2 linked regions of the Anolis sagrei genome follow. The protein of the gene in region 2 interacts with the protein of the main gene of each other region in a pairwise test. Links are inferred from orthologs where the notes say so. Each region holds a gene or a part of one and is shown on either strand. Other genes may lie near its edges.

Region 1 (7,983 bases), on a different chromosome or scaffold from region 2:
GACTTGGTGCCTTTGGTTATTTAAAACCTTTTTAAAGTAGGATATATAGGAAGACAAAATGGAAATGCAATATTCCACAACTGGTAGAGCAACTTTAGAATAATAGAATCATAGAGTTGGAAGAGATGTCATGGGCTATCCAGTCCAACCCCCTGCCAAGAAGCAGGAAAATCACATTCAGGCTTTGAGCCTTGAGCAGATTGAGATCACAGCAGGGAAGTGTGCACCAAATTTCAGGATGAGTCCCCTTGGACCACAAACTACTATTAGTAATTAACACATTACTCTCAACAGTACAGTCTTATGCTGTCTCTAGTGCCATTGAATTCAGTGAAGCTTCTTCTTTGATAGTCTGTAGTTCTATACACTTCTAAGCCGCTAATATGGATTTAAATTCCCTCAGCACTCACTCACACACATATATACATTAAAGGAGAAGGGAAAGAAATCCATCTATTATTTAACTACTTTTAAAATAATCTCATTTGTAAATATAAAAGGACAAGTAGAATATATTAAGATAGAAGAGGAATGTTGAGGTGTTATCCCATTGGAAAGTGAGGAGATGGGTAAATACCATACATGCTATGTTGAGGAAGGGAGGAATGAAAATAAGCTAGTTCATAATTTAAGAAATCACATTGACAGAGAACAGGAGGAGATTATATAAAGTTCTGAGCCTGTTTTCAAGGTACTTTTCAGACTGATATTTTTCTGCCCCTTGCTTGTAGATGGTGGAGATGGAACTTGGGACCTTTTGTAGAGTGAGCATGCTTTGTGTGCACTTGTGGAAAATATATAATTTTTGTACGGTATATATTTTGCAGACAACCATTTATGCATGGCTTAAGGATGGTGTACAAGTTTGGTTATGATTTAATTAAAATATTTTTATTCTGTTATTCTTTCTTTTTCACTAGAAGTTTCTGACTGGGATTTTAGGCCATCAACAGTTACTCCAAAATTGTCCACATGGGAGGCTGAGATAGTGACACCTTTGCTGTTGATTCAGTATACACAAATTTATTAAATTTTATATTGTGTATAAAATTCCTTTTGGGTTGTGTGTATAAACTGTATATGAAAACATAATGGATATTGTATTTATATTCTAAGATATAAATTGTTATGTGGAGTTTGTTTCCAAAAGGTACTACATCCAAAAAAGAAAATTGGTAGCAGCATGTTGTTGGTTAGGAGTAGGATACAATATACAGATAAAAACTACCAAAATATATCAAATCACTCTGGTACAGTGCTTGGAAAACTGAATTTATAGCAAAAGAATGCATATCCTCAGCCCGTTTTTTCACGGTTCCTATAAAATTTGTCCAGATGGATTTGGCACCTTTTTGAAAGAAGCTTCATATATGCATATGTAGATATTACAAAATCTAGAATACATTGGGCCCTGCGCATTTTGAATAAGAGATACTCAACCTGGATGCCATTGTATAGTATGGGACATGAGCACTTTCAGATTTTGATAATCCAAAGGCGGTCCTGCAACTAAACTTTCAGGTATGGCAATGACTCACTGCATATACAGCCAGCCCTCCACATTTGTGGGCTTAACTTTTGTGGCTTATTCACAGATTTGATTAAAATGCCCTTTCAAGGAAACTCTACACATCCAGTAGAATTTGACTACAGAACTGCACTGGAAGACCTAGAGATTCCAAGAGAGAACAACATTATTGGATTCCTTAGGTCCTCCAGTGCGTTTCAGGTGGAGGTTGACCACAGAGTCCTTCTGGAGAACTTAAAAATGTATAGAGAAGTGTTCTCTTTTGGCTATTCTTCACTTTTGAGAGGGTCTTGTGCCCCTTGCCCCAGCAGATGTGGAGGGCTTGCTTTACAACTGATGAGAAGATTGAAAGTGAACATTTGTTTCTTCTTCCCTGCCTTTTCCTTTTTCTTTTCCTTCTTTAAAAATACTTTTTATTGTACTTTCATAACTTGTAATAATTTTTTATGATGATAATAATAATAACAATATTTATACCTCACTTTATCTCTCCTGAAGGATACTCAAAACGGCTTTACATAAAAGCATTAGCATACAATTTAAAATATACAAATGTGAATATTGAAACAGAATTAAATATAAACAGTATTTAAAAATTCAGTTAAAATCCATTAAAACATATTCAAAGTGAAAAACCACAGCATCACTGATTAGATCTTTAAAACCTTCATCTTTAAAAGCCTGTCTAAATAAAAAAGGTTTTTGCTTATTAATAACAATAGAAGGCTTGTGTAATGCTGAGGTCAGAAGTCAACTTTACTTGATTTCTTTTTTCTTTTTCTTTTTCATTATCTCTTTTGCTCCTTATTTTCATTGTACTTTTATTAATGACCAGTACTAAAATTAATAATAATAAAAATATTGAAGGAGGAGGCTTATATAATAGCTGAGAAGATTGGAAGTAAACTTTGACTTGTTTTTCTTCTTTCCCTTTTATCTCTTTTCTTCCTTTAAAAAAATATTTTACACCCGCTAAGTAATGTCGACAGACTCTACCTGCCCAGAAAATCAGGAGGTAGAGGGCTTCTGCAAGTGAAACGAATGGTAGAAGAAGAGAAACATGCACTGGCAGATTATATGAAAGGCAGTCAAGAACCAACATTGAAGAAAGTCAATAGTAGTAAACTGCTTCAAGTGCAAAAGACAGAGTGAATACCGTAAAAACACAATCCAGAGCAGAAGAGAAAACTGGCAAAAGAAGGCTCTCCATGGACAGTTCCAGGGAAAAATTGAGAGCCAAATTGACAAAGAAAAAACATGGCTGTGGCTCACAAATGGAACTTTGAAAAAGGAGACGGAGGGCCTGATTCTGGCAGCCCAAGAACAAGCCATTAGTACCAATGCCATCAAAGCCAGAATTGAAAAGTCAGCGACAGATCCCAAATGTAGACTCTGAAAGGAAGCAGATGAAACAATAGATCATATCCTCTGAGGGCCCTTCCACACAGCTCTATATCCCAGAATATCAAGGCAGGAAATCCCATATTACCTGAGTGTGGACTCAAATAACCCAGTTCAAAGCAGATATTGTGGGTTATATGACTGTGTGGAAGGGCCCTGGGTTATCTGAGTTCACATTGCCATATATTCTAGTTCAAAATAGATAATGTGGGATTTTCTGCTTTGATATTCTGGGACATAGAGCTGTGTGGAAGGACCCCCCCCCCCCCCCCCCCCCCGACGATCAAGGCAGGAAATCCTGCAATACCTGCTTCGGACTGGAATATATGGCAGTGTGGACCCAGGGCCCTTTCCACACAGTCCTATATCCCAGAATATCAAGGCAGGAAATCCCACAATATCTGCTTTGAACAGGGTTATCTGTGGGCCCTTCCACACAGCTCCATATCTCAGAATATCAAGGCAGAAAATCCCACATTATCTGAGTATGGATTCAGAGAACCTAGTTCAAAGCAGATACGGTGGGATATTTTGCCTTGATGTTCTGCATTATATGACTGTGTGGAAGGGCCCTGGGTTATCTGAGTTCACATTGCCATATATTCTAGTTCAAAATAGATAATGTGGGATTTTCTGCTTTGATATTCTGGGATATAGAGCTGTGTGGAAGGACCCCCAGACTATCAAGGCAGGAAATCCTGCAATATCTGCTTCGGACTGGAATATATAGCAGTGTGGACCCAGGGCTCTTTCCACACAGCCATATAACCCAGAATATCAAGGCAGAAAATCCCACATTATCTGAGTGTGGATTCAGATAACCTAGTTCAAAGCAGATATGGTGGGATGTTCTGCCTTGATGTTCTGGGTTATATGAAGGTGTGGAAGGGCCCTGGATTATTTGAGTCCACATTGCCATATATTCCAGTTCAAAGCAGATAATGTGGGATTTTCTGCTTTGATATTCTGGGATACAGAGCTGTGTGGAAGGACGCCCAGACTATCAAGGCAGGAAATCCTGCAATATCTGCTTTGGACTGGAATATATGGCAGTGTGGACTCAGATAACCCAGTTCAAAGCAGATATTGTGGGTTATATGGCTGTGTGGAAGGGCCCTGGGTTATTATCTGAGTTCACACTGCCATATATTCCAGTTCAAAGCAGATAATGTGGGATTTTCTGCTTTGATATTCTGGGATATAGGGCTGTGTGGAAGGACCCCCAGACTATCAAGGCAGGAAATCCCGCAAGGCCTTTGATCTTTGATATTGCTGTTTTTAAATTGTTTTAAATTGTGTTCAATTTTAGCCTGTTCTTGTAAGCCGCTCGGAGCCCCAGGGGAGTGGCGGCATATAAATTTGAATAATAAACAAAATAAATAAAAATATCTGCTTTGGACTGGAATATATGGCAGTGTGGACCCAGGGATCTTTCTGACTGTGGGAGCCGTTCAGCAGTGGAACTCTCTACCCGGAGTGTGGTGGAGGCTCCTTCTTTGGAAGCCTTTAAACAGAGGCTGGATGGCCATCTGTCAGGGGTGATTTGAATGCAATATTCCTGCTTCTTGACAGAGGGTTGGACTGGATGGCCCATGAGGTCTCTTCCAACTCTTTGATTCTATGATTCTATTCCACACAGCCCTATAACCCAGAATATCAAGTCAGAAAATCCCACATTATCTGAGTGTGGATTTAGATAACCCAGGGCCCTTCCACGCAGCCATATAACCCAGAATATCAAGGCAGAAAGTCCCACAATATCTGCTTTGAACTGGGTTACCTGAGTCCACAAAGGCATATATTCCAGTTCAAAGAAAATGTGGGATTTTATTCAGCTGTGTGGAAGGGGCAGATATGGTGGGATTTTCCTGTCTTGATATTGTGAGTGACATGGCTGTGTGGAAAGGCCCTGAGCTATGGCGGTAGAAGGGATGCCAGCCCACCTCCTTTCTCCTGAGGGAAATGGGAAGGGAGGCAGGAAGGAAGGCGGATGGAGGGAGCCGGGCAGAGCGACCCCGCGTTTCCCGCTGCTTCTGGCGGGGAGGAGAAGGGAGGAGGCCCGGCCCGCCCTGAGGGAAAGAAAAGCGAGGGAACACAGGAGAAGGAGGAGGAGCCGAGCCGCCTCTCTGACGGGAGACGCATCTGACAGGAGGGAGGGAGGCAGAGCAGGTGAGGGATGGAGACCGGCAAGGCCGCGACGTGGAGAGGAGGAGAGGGGAAGGAGGAGGAGGGCCATTAGAGGCGGGCAGGGCCAGGCGGCGGCTGCTTTCCCGGATCCAGGAGGATGGGGAACGCGGACTCGAAGCTCAACTTCAGGAAGGCGGTGATCCAGCTCACCACCAAGACCCAGGTATGGCTCAAGGGAGCACCTGCTCAGGGCGTGGGGATCTTAAAGGGGACTGGCCTCCTCAGGAATAACGGTGGGACCCAGGCAGGTGCTTCTTTTGAGGCCTCTGTTCCCCCTCAGGCCCTGCCTTCTTCACAGCTGCTCTGGCCTCCCTCCTAGGCCACATCCACAGCCCCCAAAGCTCAACTGAGCAGATCCCTCTGCCTGCTGCCCTGGCCTTCCTTTCAAGGCTGGCCAGCCTCAGGCCCTGCTGGGATTTGGGAGCCTTCTGGGAGCTTCAGGCCGTGATAGGCATCTACATTAGGCCTGGGCAAACTTCAGCCCTCCCTCCAGGTGTTTTGGACTTCGATTCCCACCATTCTTAACAGCCTCAGGCCCCTTCCTTTCCCCCCTCAGCCGCTTAAGCGGCTGAGGAGGAAAAGGAAAGGGCCTGAGGCTGTTAAGAATGGTGGGAATCGAAGTCCAAAACATCTGGAGGGAGGGTTTGAAGTTTGCCCAGGCCTGGTCTACACTGTGGGATGAATGCAGTGTGACTCCGCTCTGACTGCCACCATTCAATTCTGTTCAATCCCAAGGGTTTTAGCCTTACCTGCCCAAGAGTTCTGGTGCCTCCCCAAATGCGAATCCCAGGATGTCATTGAAGGAAAAAAGATGTGTGACAAGTCCTCTCATAGGTAGTGATAAAGGTTTCCCCTTGATATTAAGTCTAGTTGTGTCCAATTCTGGGGGTGGTGCTCAACTCCATTTCTAAGCCAAAGAGCCGGCGTTGTCCATAGATACCTCCAAGGTCATGTGGCCAGCTTACTTACTTAGGCGATCCCTCATTGTCCGAGTAGGATTGTCTTCCAAGATTGGTGTCCTGGCGGTGGGTCCGTAGGTGACTGTGGAGCCCTACTCTTGATCTGCATGTTCTCCCGCAGTGAGGGCATCAGTTTCCGAGCATAAGGTGGCCCCGGTAAGCTTGATGTGCCTTCCTTTTGGCATTTTTCTCTCTTTTTCCCTCTATTAGTGTCTCTTCAAATTCTACAGCACTGCTGCTCACAGCTGACCTCCAGCTGGAGTGCTCAAGGGTCAGGGCTTCCCAGTTCTTGGTGTCTATGCCACAGTTTTTAAGGTTGGCTTTGAGCCCATCTTTAAATCTCTTTTCCTGCCCACCAACATTCTGTTTTCCATTCTTGAGTTTGGAGCAACTGCTTTGGGAGACGGTGGTTGGGCACCCAGACGGCATGACTGCATGGAGCACCATTACCTTCCTGCAGAAGCGGTACCTATTGATCTATTCGAATTTGCATGTTTTCTAACTGCTAGGTTGGCAGACGCTGGGGCCAACAGCGGGAGCTTGGCCTGCTCCCCGGATTTGATCCGCTGACCTTTCAGTCAGCAAGTTCAGCAGCTAAGCAGGTTAACCTGCTGCACCCCTGGGGGCTCTCATATCTCCATGCCATAGTACTGAGCCATGGTGGCTAAAGAGGTGTCCAGCTGCATTCGTTCTACAGTGTAGAATATGCACCCTTATGGACAGAGCTATTCAGCAGGCGATGGCGGGAAGGCTATCTATGGGGAGAAAGACTGAGGAAGTTGGAAGGATGCATTCAGGTAATATGTTGTAATCATGCCTGATGGCAAACACCAGCCCTGTCACAAATGACGTCACTGAAGGAGGAAAAAAAAGTGAGACTGAAGGCTCAAGTCCTTTCCTATCAGCACACTGTAAGGGATATTTTATGATGTTTATCCAATTTGTTGAATCGGCTATTTGATTCCTCACTATATACAGGTTGAGCATCCCTTGTTGGAAATTTTGAAATATTCCAAAATCCTAAACTGGTCACATAGGTGGCTGAGATAGAGACACCTTTGTTTTCTGATGGTTCAGTGTACTGCACACAAAGTCGGTTTCATGCATCAAATTATTAAAATTACCTTCCGGCATGTGTATAATGTGTATATTAAACAAATCAATCTTGTGTTTCAGTTGCATTCCATCTCCAAGCTGTCTCATTGTGTACATACAGGCAGTCCCCAAGATATGAACAAGATAGGTTCTCTAGGTTTGTTCTTAAGCTGAATTTATACAGTATGTAAGTCAGAATAGGTACATTTTTAAAGTGTAACTCCAGGGATAGCATAGGGAAGTGATAACAACCCTGTGGTGTTTGTTTAGCTGTTTGTTTTTCTGTACCCCTGTTTAAAAGATTTCCCTTCACTTTCTGTCCCTGATAACTGGATTTTGAAAAAAAATATGGCTTGTTGTGGAAGCAAGGATAGGTGATAAAGCTTCAGTGGAGACACATTTTTCTCATGGTAACTCTTTCAAGAGTGAATTTCCCTTCCTAGAGATAGATTTCTTTGACTTCCTGTTGTCTCGCCCCCATTCTTAACTATGAATTGTTTGCAAATTGGATGTTTGTAACTCGGGGACTGCCTGTATATGGAAATACAGCTATTCATAATAATAATAATAATAATAATAATAATAATAATTAAAAAAAACCCAAACACTTCTGATCCTAAGTACTCCAAATAAGAGGTACTTAAACTTGTACTTCTCCATGATAGCTATGGTAATCCTTTCATGAAAGTTTGAAAAACAAGGATGGCAATGCTGTTGGAGGAGTTCTGCAAATGTGTTATTTTTAGTTGGATTGCACTTAAATCTTAAGTCAGGTTCATGTACAAGTCTAGAAGCGTAACAGAAAAAGTCTAA
Region 2 (7,958 bases):
AAACCATAAAAAATGTAAATCTCAATACTTCCAGAGACATTGTTATCTAGTTAAGCCCTGCTTTTTATTAATCCGACACAGAAATCTATGTGCCAGATTCAGATGCAATATCGATAGTTTGGTGCAACGTAGTTGACAGTTAAGGGTTTGTCTGAATGCACACACTCAGACTTAAGATTTGGTGATCATTGACTGAAGCAAGTTCAAATTCTTCTTACACAAAAACTGTTCCTGTCCCCATCCCCAGATGTTGGGGGCTGCTCTCATCAACCTGATTTCAAAACAAAGTCTGTTTTGAGCAAACTAATTTCAGTGTGTGATTTTGAGTAACTCTAGTTTGACTCCAGCATTAAAGGAGCCCTGCCAGTGATTTAAAAAGCAGTGTTTCAACAAAAGACATCAAAGCCTAGGAGGCACAGCATGGTTTCCAGGAAATCAGTGTTTTAGCAAAAAGCCCTACTCGGTGGCTTTTTCTACGATTCTGGGGAGAGGAAATCCCCTTCAGTTCAGTTCTAAGATAAATGTCCAACTGGTTTCTTCAGCCATGTTACCGGGTACATGTCTTAAGAAAAAGGCAGTAATGTCATTCCCTAAATGCCACACATTGTCACACTGCCCTAATAGAGATGTTACAACTTGCTTGACCTGGCAAATCACTCACCTGATCTCCTGTCATTATGGGTATTGCCTCAATGCAGTAAGTCTGACTGTAGATTAATTTCCTCGCCTGGGAGTTATTGAAGCTTAATGTTTGAGTGATAGTGTTCTACAGCCTTGGAGCACTCCACACTGAAGAGTCACAATTATTTAGGAGTTATATTTCTGGAGATGCTTTCTAGTTTCAGCCTTTTCATTATTTCATAGAACAATATATATCTATTCTAGTTGGGGGCAAACCAAGAATGGGCAATGTGGAAATCCCTGAACAGACACAGAAGTGAAGTGGGCAGATCAAAAGACAACCTGACAAAATGGCACTACCTAAAAGAATCCTCCACCTTGTGTGACTGTGGGGCAGAACAAACAACTCCGCATCTGTATGCTTGCCCACAATGCTCTGCCTCATGCACAGAGGAAGAATTGTTTAAAGCTGCAGACAATGTGGTTGCTGTTGCCCATTTTTGGTCTAAAATTATGTAGCTGCTTGTGCTCCCTCTATTTTATCAGTTTTATACTTGTTTTATTTACGCAATGCTTTTGACATGAAATAGTCTGGGATAGAGGGTTATATAATTTGGACATCTTGACAGCAGTTTTATGTTTTCAATACTTTTGTGTGTTATGTTTAATTTGACTGAAATAAATTTGGATAGGTTCCTTTATGCACAGACCCATAGATCTTTCTTACTCTGGACCAGACAATTGATCTATTTAATTCAGTAGTTCTACCATAATGAATGGAAGTCTTCTAAAACATAAACCAATTAAGATAACATAGCAGCATTTATTATTTCATATGCATACCAAAAAAGGGAAATGCGAAAGACTGCTCAAACTTCCGTACAGTGGCCCTTATTTCTCATGCCAGCAAGGTAATGCTCAAGATCCTGCAAGGAAGACTCCAGCAATACATGGAGCGAGAGTTGCCAGATGTTCAAGCTGGGTTTAGAAAAGGCAGAGGAACGAGAGACCAAATTGCCAATATCCGCTGGATAATGGAGAAAGGCAGGGAGTTTCAGAAAAACATCTACTTCTGCTTCATTGACTATTCTAAAGCCTTTGACTGTGTGGATCATAATACATTGTGGCAAGTTCTTAGTGGGATGGGCATCCCAAGCCACCTTGTCTCTCTCCTGAGGAATCTGTACAAGGACCAAGTAGCAACAGTAAGAACTGACCATGGAACAACAGACTGGTTCAAGATTGGGAAAGGCGTACGGCAAGGCTGCATCCTCTCACCCAACCTTTTTAACTTGTATGCAGAACACATCATGCGATGTGCGGGGCTGGATGAATGCAAAGCTGGGGTGAAAATTGCTGGAAGAAACATTAACAACCTCAGATATGCAGATGACACTACTCTGATGGCCGAAAGCGAGGAGGAGCTGAGGAGCCTTCTAATCAAGGTGAAAGAAGAAAGCACAAAAGCCGGGTTGCAGCTAAACGTCAAAAAAACCAAGATTATGGCAACAAGAATGATTGACAACTGGAAAATAGAGGGAGAAACCGTGGAGGCTGTGGCAGACTTTGTATTTCTAGGTGCAAAGATTACTGCAGATGCAGACTGTGGCCAGGAAATCAGAAGACGCTTACTTCTTGGGAGGAGAGCAATGTCCAATCTCGATAAAATAGTAAAGAGTAGAGACATCACACTGGCAACAAAGATCCGCCTAGTCAAAGCCATGGTATTCCCTGTAGTCACCTACGGATGTGAGAGCTGGACCTTAGGGAAGGCTGAGCGAAGGAAGATCGATGCTTTTGAACTGTGGTGCTGGAGGAAAGTTCTGAGAGTGCCTTGGACTGCGAGAAGATCCAACCAGTCCATCCTCCAGGAAATAAAGCCCGACTGCTCACTGGAGGGAAAGATACTAGAGACAAAGTTGAAGTACTTTGGTCACATCATGAGGAGACAGGAAAGCCTAGAGAAGACAATTATGCTGGGGAAAGTGGAAGGCAAAAGGAAGAGGGGCCGACCAAGGGCAAGATGGATGGATGGCATCCTTGAAGTGACTGGACTGACCTTGAGGGAGCTGGGGGTGGTGACGGCCGACAGGGAGCTCTGGCGTGGGCTGGTCCATGAGGTCACGAAGAGTCGGAGACGACTGAACGAATGAACAACATGCATAATTACAATTTGCCAGGTAGCCTGGTATTAGGCCCATGTTGCAGTCTGGAGGAAGCAGATTAAAAGACAACAGTTTACCTAAGGTTAATTCATGTCTGGAGTAAGATTTGGGCTTGTTTGTTACTAGATGCAGCTCTATATGTTATGCAGCCACAATTCTTAGAGCATTGAGATGGCCTTCATATAGCTGAGATGGGGCAGGCTTTGAATATATATATTTGGTCATATATATTTGAACATATAGTTGGCCAGACCTCACCTGAAATAACACTGTTAATTCAAGTAGGATATTGACAAGCTGGAACATGTTCAGAGAAGGCAACCAAAATAATCAAAATTTGGAAGCCAAGCCCTGTGAGTGGCCAAGGGAGCTGGGTGAAAGGAGAAAGGAAGCTTGGAGAAAGGAAGGCTAAAAGGGGACATGGTCACCATGTTTCAATATTTCAAATGATTTCATAAGGAAGAGGGAGAAGGTTTGTTTTCTGCTACTTTGGAGGTGCTACATGGAGCAATGGATTCAAATTACAGGAAAAGAGATTCCACCTAAATCTTAGGAAGATTATAATGTATTTTTATTTTTTGGCTTTTAAGTCTCTTCCGCTATGTTTTCCAGTGTTTTTATGAGTGACGGTCACTTGTTGGGTGTGATAGGTGTATTGTGTCCAAATTTGGTGTCAATTCACCCAGTGGTTTTTGAGTTATCTTAATCCCAAAAACAAACATTAAATTTTTATTTATGTAGATCTTGATATTAGAGGTTTTTTGAGAGACTCCCTCCTGGGCACACAGAAGACTGGGCGACTTGGAAGGCGCTGAACAGACTGCGCTCTGGCACCATGAGATGCAGAGCCAACCTTAAGAAACGGGGCAAAAAAAGGGGAATCCACGACATGCGAGTGTGGAGAAGAGCAAACCAGTGACCACCTGCTGCAATGCAACCTGAGCCCTGCCACATGCACAATGGAGGATCTTCTTGTGGCAACACCAGAGGCACCCCAAGTGGCCAGATACTGGTCAAAGGACATTTAATAAACTACCAAGCTTGCAAATTTTGTATTATGTCTGTTTGTTTGCTTTGTTCTGTTAGAAATGTAATATGTAATATAATTGACTGGCTGCCCTAACACGAAATAAATACAGTACCCTAAACACGGCTGATCTCGGATTGACAGCCACAGCTTGAGGTTCAAACCATTATATCACATTTCATGATTTCCTTCCCTCTCATTTTCCTATCTACCTTTCTTTCTCCCCTTCCTCTGTTTTGGAGAGAGCATTTCCTCCCTTATTTTTTTTTTGGGGGGGGGGGGGGGGAGGGGAATAGAGAAAGGAAAGGAGATTTAAGAAGCAAGAGAGCAATGGAGAGGATTCCTACCAAGCTTGCACATTTTGTGTTTTGTCTGTTTGTTTGTTTTGTTCTGTTAGAAATGTAATACAACTGTCTGGTTGCCCCTGACACAATAAATAAATAAATGAATAAAAAAGTGCTTGACATTTGGAAGTTGTAGTTCCTGGGATTTATAGTTCACCTACAATCAAAGAACATACTGAATTCCACCAGCGATGGAATTGAACCAAACTTGGCACACAGAACTCCCATGACCAACAGAAAATACTTAACGGATTTGGTAGACATTGGTCTTGAGTTTTGGAGTTGTAGTTCACCTACATCCAGAGAGCACTGTGGACTCAAACAATGCACCAGACTTGACACAAATACTAAATATGCCCAAATGAGAACCCTGGTGGAGTTTGGGGGGAAATGGACCTTGACATTTGGGAGTTGTAGTTGCTGCGATTTATAGTTCACCTACAATCGAAGAGCATTCTTTGGGCCAAACTTCCCACAGAGAATCCCCACGACCAATAGAAAATACTGTGTTTTCTGATGCCCCCCCCCCCCCCCCCGTCCCGACTCCCAGGTTGAGAAACGCTGTTATATGGCATCGGCTCAAGAGGCACAACTCATGTCACGTTCCCTGGCACCTCTCCCTCCCGCCTTTCTGGCCCAATCTGCGTGCGCATGCGCCTTGCCTTCTTACTCGACCGAAGCCTCACCGCGCCTTGCCCTCCTCTTAATCGCCCCGCTCTTCCGCGCATGCGCCCACCCGCCCTTCTTTCTCTCTCTCTCTCCCCCTCCCTCCCCGGCCCCGCGAGTCTCGCGAGAAGCCGGGATTTATTCCTACGTGCTGTGCCGTGCTGCTCATGGCGGCGCTGGAGCGGGGGCGCTGAGCTGTTGGGGTAAGCGGGGCTCCTCGAGGGCGGGGGGCGCCTTCCCTGGCTTCGGGGGGAGGCCGGAAAGGGCGGGGGAGCTGGGTAGGCCTCCTGTCACGGCGGTCCCGGGCGCCAACGGTCCGGAGGGGCTGCTCCCCCTCCCCTTCCCCTCCCGCCGTGCGTGCGCGCTCGCTTCCCTTTTGCCCCGAGAAGGAGGGAGAGAGGAGGAGAGGGAGGCCGCGGCGGGCTGGGAGTGCTGCCTCTTTCCCCTTCGCCTCAGCCGGGGAGAGAAAGCGCTCGCAGTGGGCCCGAGCCTTGGCAGCACTACACTTCCCGGCGTGCACTGCGGGTCTTTGCCCATTGCTCTCTCCCTCCCCTCCCGCGGGGGCCGATGGGGGATGGAGTTTGGCGGCGCCGTGGTGTTGAAAGCGGCGGCGGAGTGTGCCTGCCAGGGGCCTCGCCGCTTGGCCTGCTGGGGGATGGAGTTCCGGCTCCCGCCGCCTCTCGGTGCGGAGAGAGGGGTGCGAACTCTCTCTCCCGGCATGCAGCGGGCCAATGCAGGGAGGGGAAGAGCAGGTCAATCTTCCTTTGTGTGAGGGGGAGCGGGCGCCATTTTCCTTTTTTTTTACTCACTCCCCCCAATCTTGGCCAGAGAGGGACACGCCCCAGGCCCTTGTGAGGGAGAACCGGAACGCCTTCGCCTGCAAGCCCCTCACACGGCGTCCGGAGGCCGGCGTTGTGGCGTCCCTGCGCGCCGAGCCCGGGCTTCGGCGTCCCTTTCCCTCCGATGCGGACCCCCACCCTGATTTCCCCTCAGCAGGAGCAGGAGCCACCATCTTGCTGCCCAAGGACCATGTGCCTCGGCGCTTGACAGTGTGATGCTGCATTTTGCGGGGCGAAATGGCCACTCCAGGCCTAACGAGTAGAGACGGAGACAGGGCCACTCTGGTCACTGGAAACCTTTAGATTTAACCTCCAGAGAAGCCGGCGGTAGCCCTTTCAAATCGCAGAAGGCTTTCTTGAGACTGGTGACAAGTAAAACAATGTAAATTAAACAGGATTGTCATATTTTTATGCATACTGCAGGCATGGGCCAACTTGGGCTACCAATATTAAAAAAAAACCTCTAAAATTACAACAACAAAACAATAGAGAGGAAACAAAAAAGGACATCTAATCACCTCTCGACAAAAGATTGCCCCAGGCACTACCAGGCCATCAAATGCTAATCAAGGTGGTCAGTTGAAACATTCACACCTAGCTCCAACAGACAAGAGTTCTTTGTCCCACCCTAGTCATTCCACAGATATATAAACCCATTTTCCTAGCTCCAACAGACCTCACTACCTCTGAGGATGCTTGCCATAGATGCAGGCGAAACGTCAGGAGAGAATGCCTCTAGAACATAGTCACATAGCCCGAAAAAACCTACAACAACCCAACTTGGACTTTCCCTCCAGAGGTTTCTCATTACATTTGTGTGACATACTAACATGTCGCAACAGAGTTTTGATATCCCTGCTGTATAGGCTACTATAAATTAAAAACAAAAGTAAAATGAAGGCTTTGCTACATATTGAAACCCATATGAAACTTTTGCCCCACTCTGTAGAGCAGGCATGGGCCAACTTGGGCTTTCCCTCCAGGTGTTTTGGACGTCAACTCCCAACATTCCTAACAGCCTTAGGCCTTTTTCTCTCCCCCAGCCACTTAAGCTTAAGGAAGGGGCCTGAGGCTGTTAGGAATTGTGGGAGTTGAAGTCCAAAACACCTGGAGGGAAGGCCCAAGTTGGCACATGCCTGCACTATTGAACGTGCCAAAAGTTACATGTGGGTTTCAATATGTAGCAATGCCTTCATTTTTGTTTTATTTTTAATTTATAATACCATATACAGCAGAGATATCAAAACTGTCTGTTGCGACATGTTAGTATGTCACATGAATGTAATGAGAAACCTCTGGAGTCTATGTGAAATAAGCAATAAATCATATATATTTTAGAAATACAAATTAAAGATATGTCCCCATAACGGTTCGTTATTCCAGTTTTTGTGTGTCTTTATATTTCTTGGGGCCCTTCCAGACAGGCCCAATATTCCAGAATCACATCCCAGATTTTTTGCTTTCTAGATTATATGAGTCTGCACTGTCAGATAATCTGGTATAAACAGAAAACTTAGGATCAGATCCTGGAAGGGCCCTTGGTTTTACATCTGGTTTGCTAGTAAAACTGAATTATTGTGTTGCAAAATGATGCATGTTTGGAACATGTATCACAAATATTAAATGTTTGGAAAGCTCTGATACATATAGGAAATAAATTACATTGTGTGAAAAATTCTCTTAAAAACATTTTCATAAAGTAAACATCAGATACCTTTGTGACCTTTGACCCACCTTGTACAACTATTTGGATACAGTATGCTCCTTAAAATACTAAAATATATATTTTAAACCATTGGTTGATGAGCCTTGTATTTGTCTGGTTTGACCCATGCCCATTTGTAATTAATTTGCTTGTTTGGTCTAGAATGGCAAAGAAGTCTACTTCTGTCTTTTACTAAACCATTATTCTTGTTTGAATTAAACCCCTGTTTTATAACTTATACTGGAACTTCGACTGAATTCAGTTGTTCTAAATTTTGTCCATTATTAGAATATTTTAGTGTGATCTTTTGAGAAACTATTCAGAGAAATTTCCAGTTCAGAGAAGTTGGACTTACAAAAAAATAAATACCAAATTATTTTTATTACCAGCTCCACTTTTGTTATGTATTGTTATCTCTGGCTATTAATTCCCTATATCTCCTGATAGTAATTACCTATGTCATTCAGCTAATTTTAGGGTGCTAGCCTATATTCAAATTAATTTGGATAAAAACCTTTAGTAGGTGTCTATATAAATACCATGCTATTGTTCATGGATCGTGTCAATGCCTCCGTTCTTTATGTAGCTACC

What was found.
Region 1: the proteins of CSDE1 (region 2) and HID1 interact in binary tests that used the Homo sapiens proteins (3 or more experiments, as listed by UniProt). The two-hybrid records come from large-scale screens. The link is inferred for Anolis sagrei from reciprocal best matches to the Homo sapiens genes CSDE1 and HID1.

What each region holds. Positions count from the first base shown.
Region 1 is NC_090022.1:116,956,540-116,964,522, reverse strand, and holds the start of HID1 (protein HID1), read left to right. Parts: upstream 1-4,920; 5' UTR 4,921-5,213; coding exon 5,214-5,279; intron 5,280-7,983. UniProt on the Homo sapiens protein: May play an important role in the development of cancers in a broad range of tissues.
Region 2 is NC_090024.1:203,342,513-203,350,470, reverse strand, and holds the start of CSDE1 (cold shock domain-containing protein E1), read left to right. Parts: upstream 1-4,917; 5' UTR 4,918-5,026; intron 5,027-7,958. UniProt on the Homo sapiens protein: RNA-binding protein involved in translationally coupled mRNA turnover.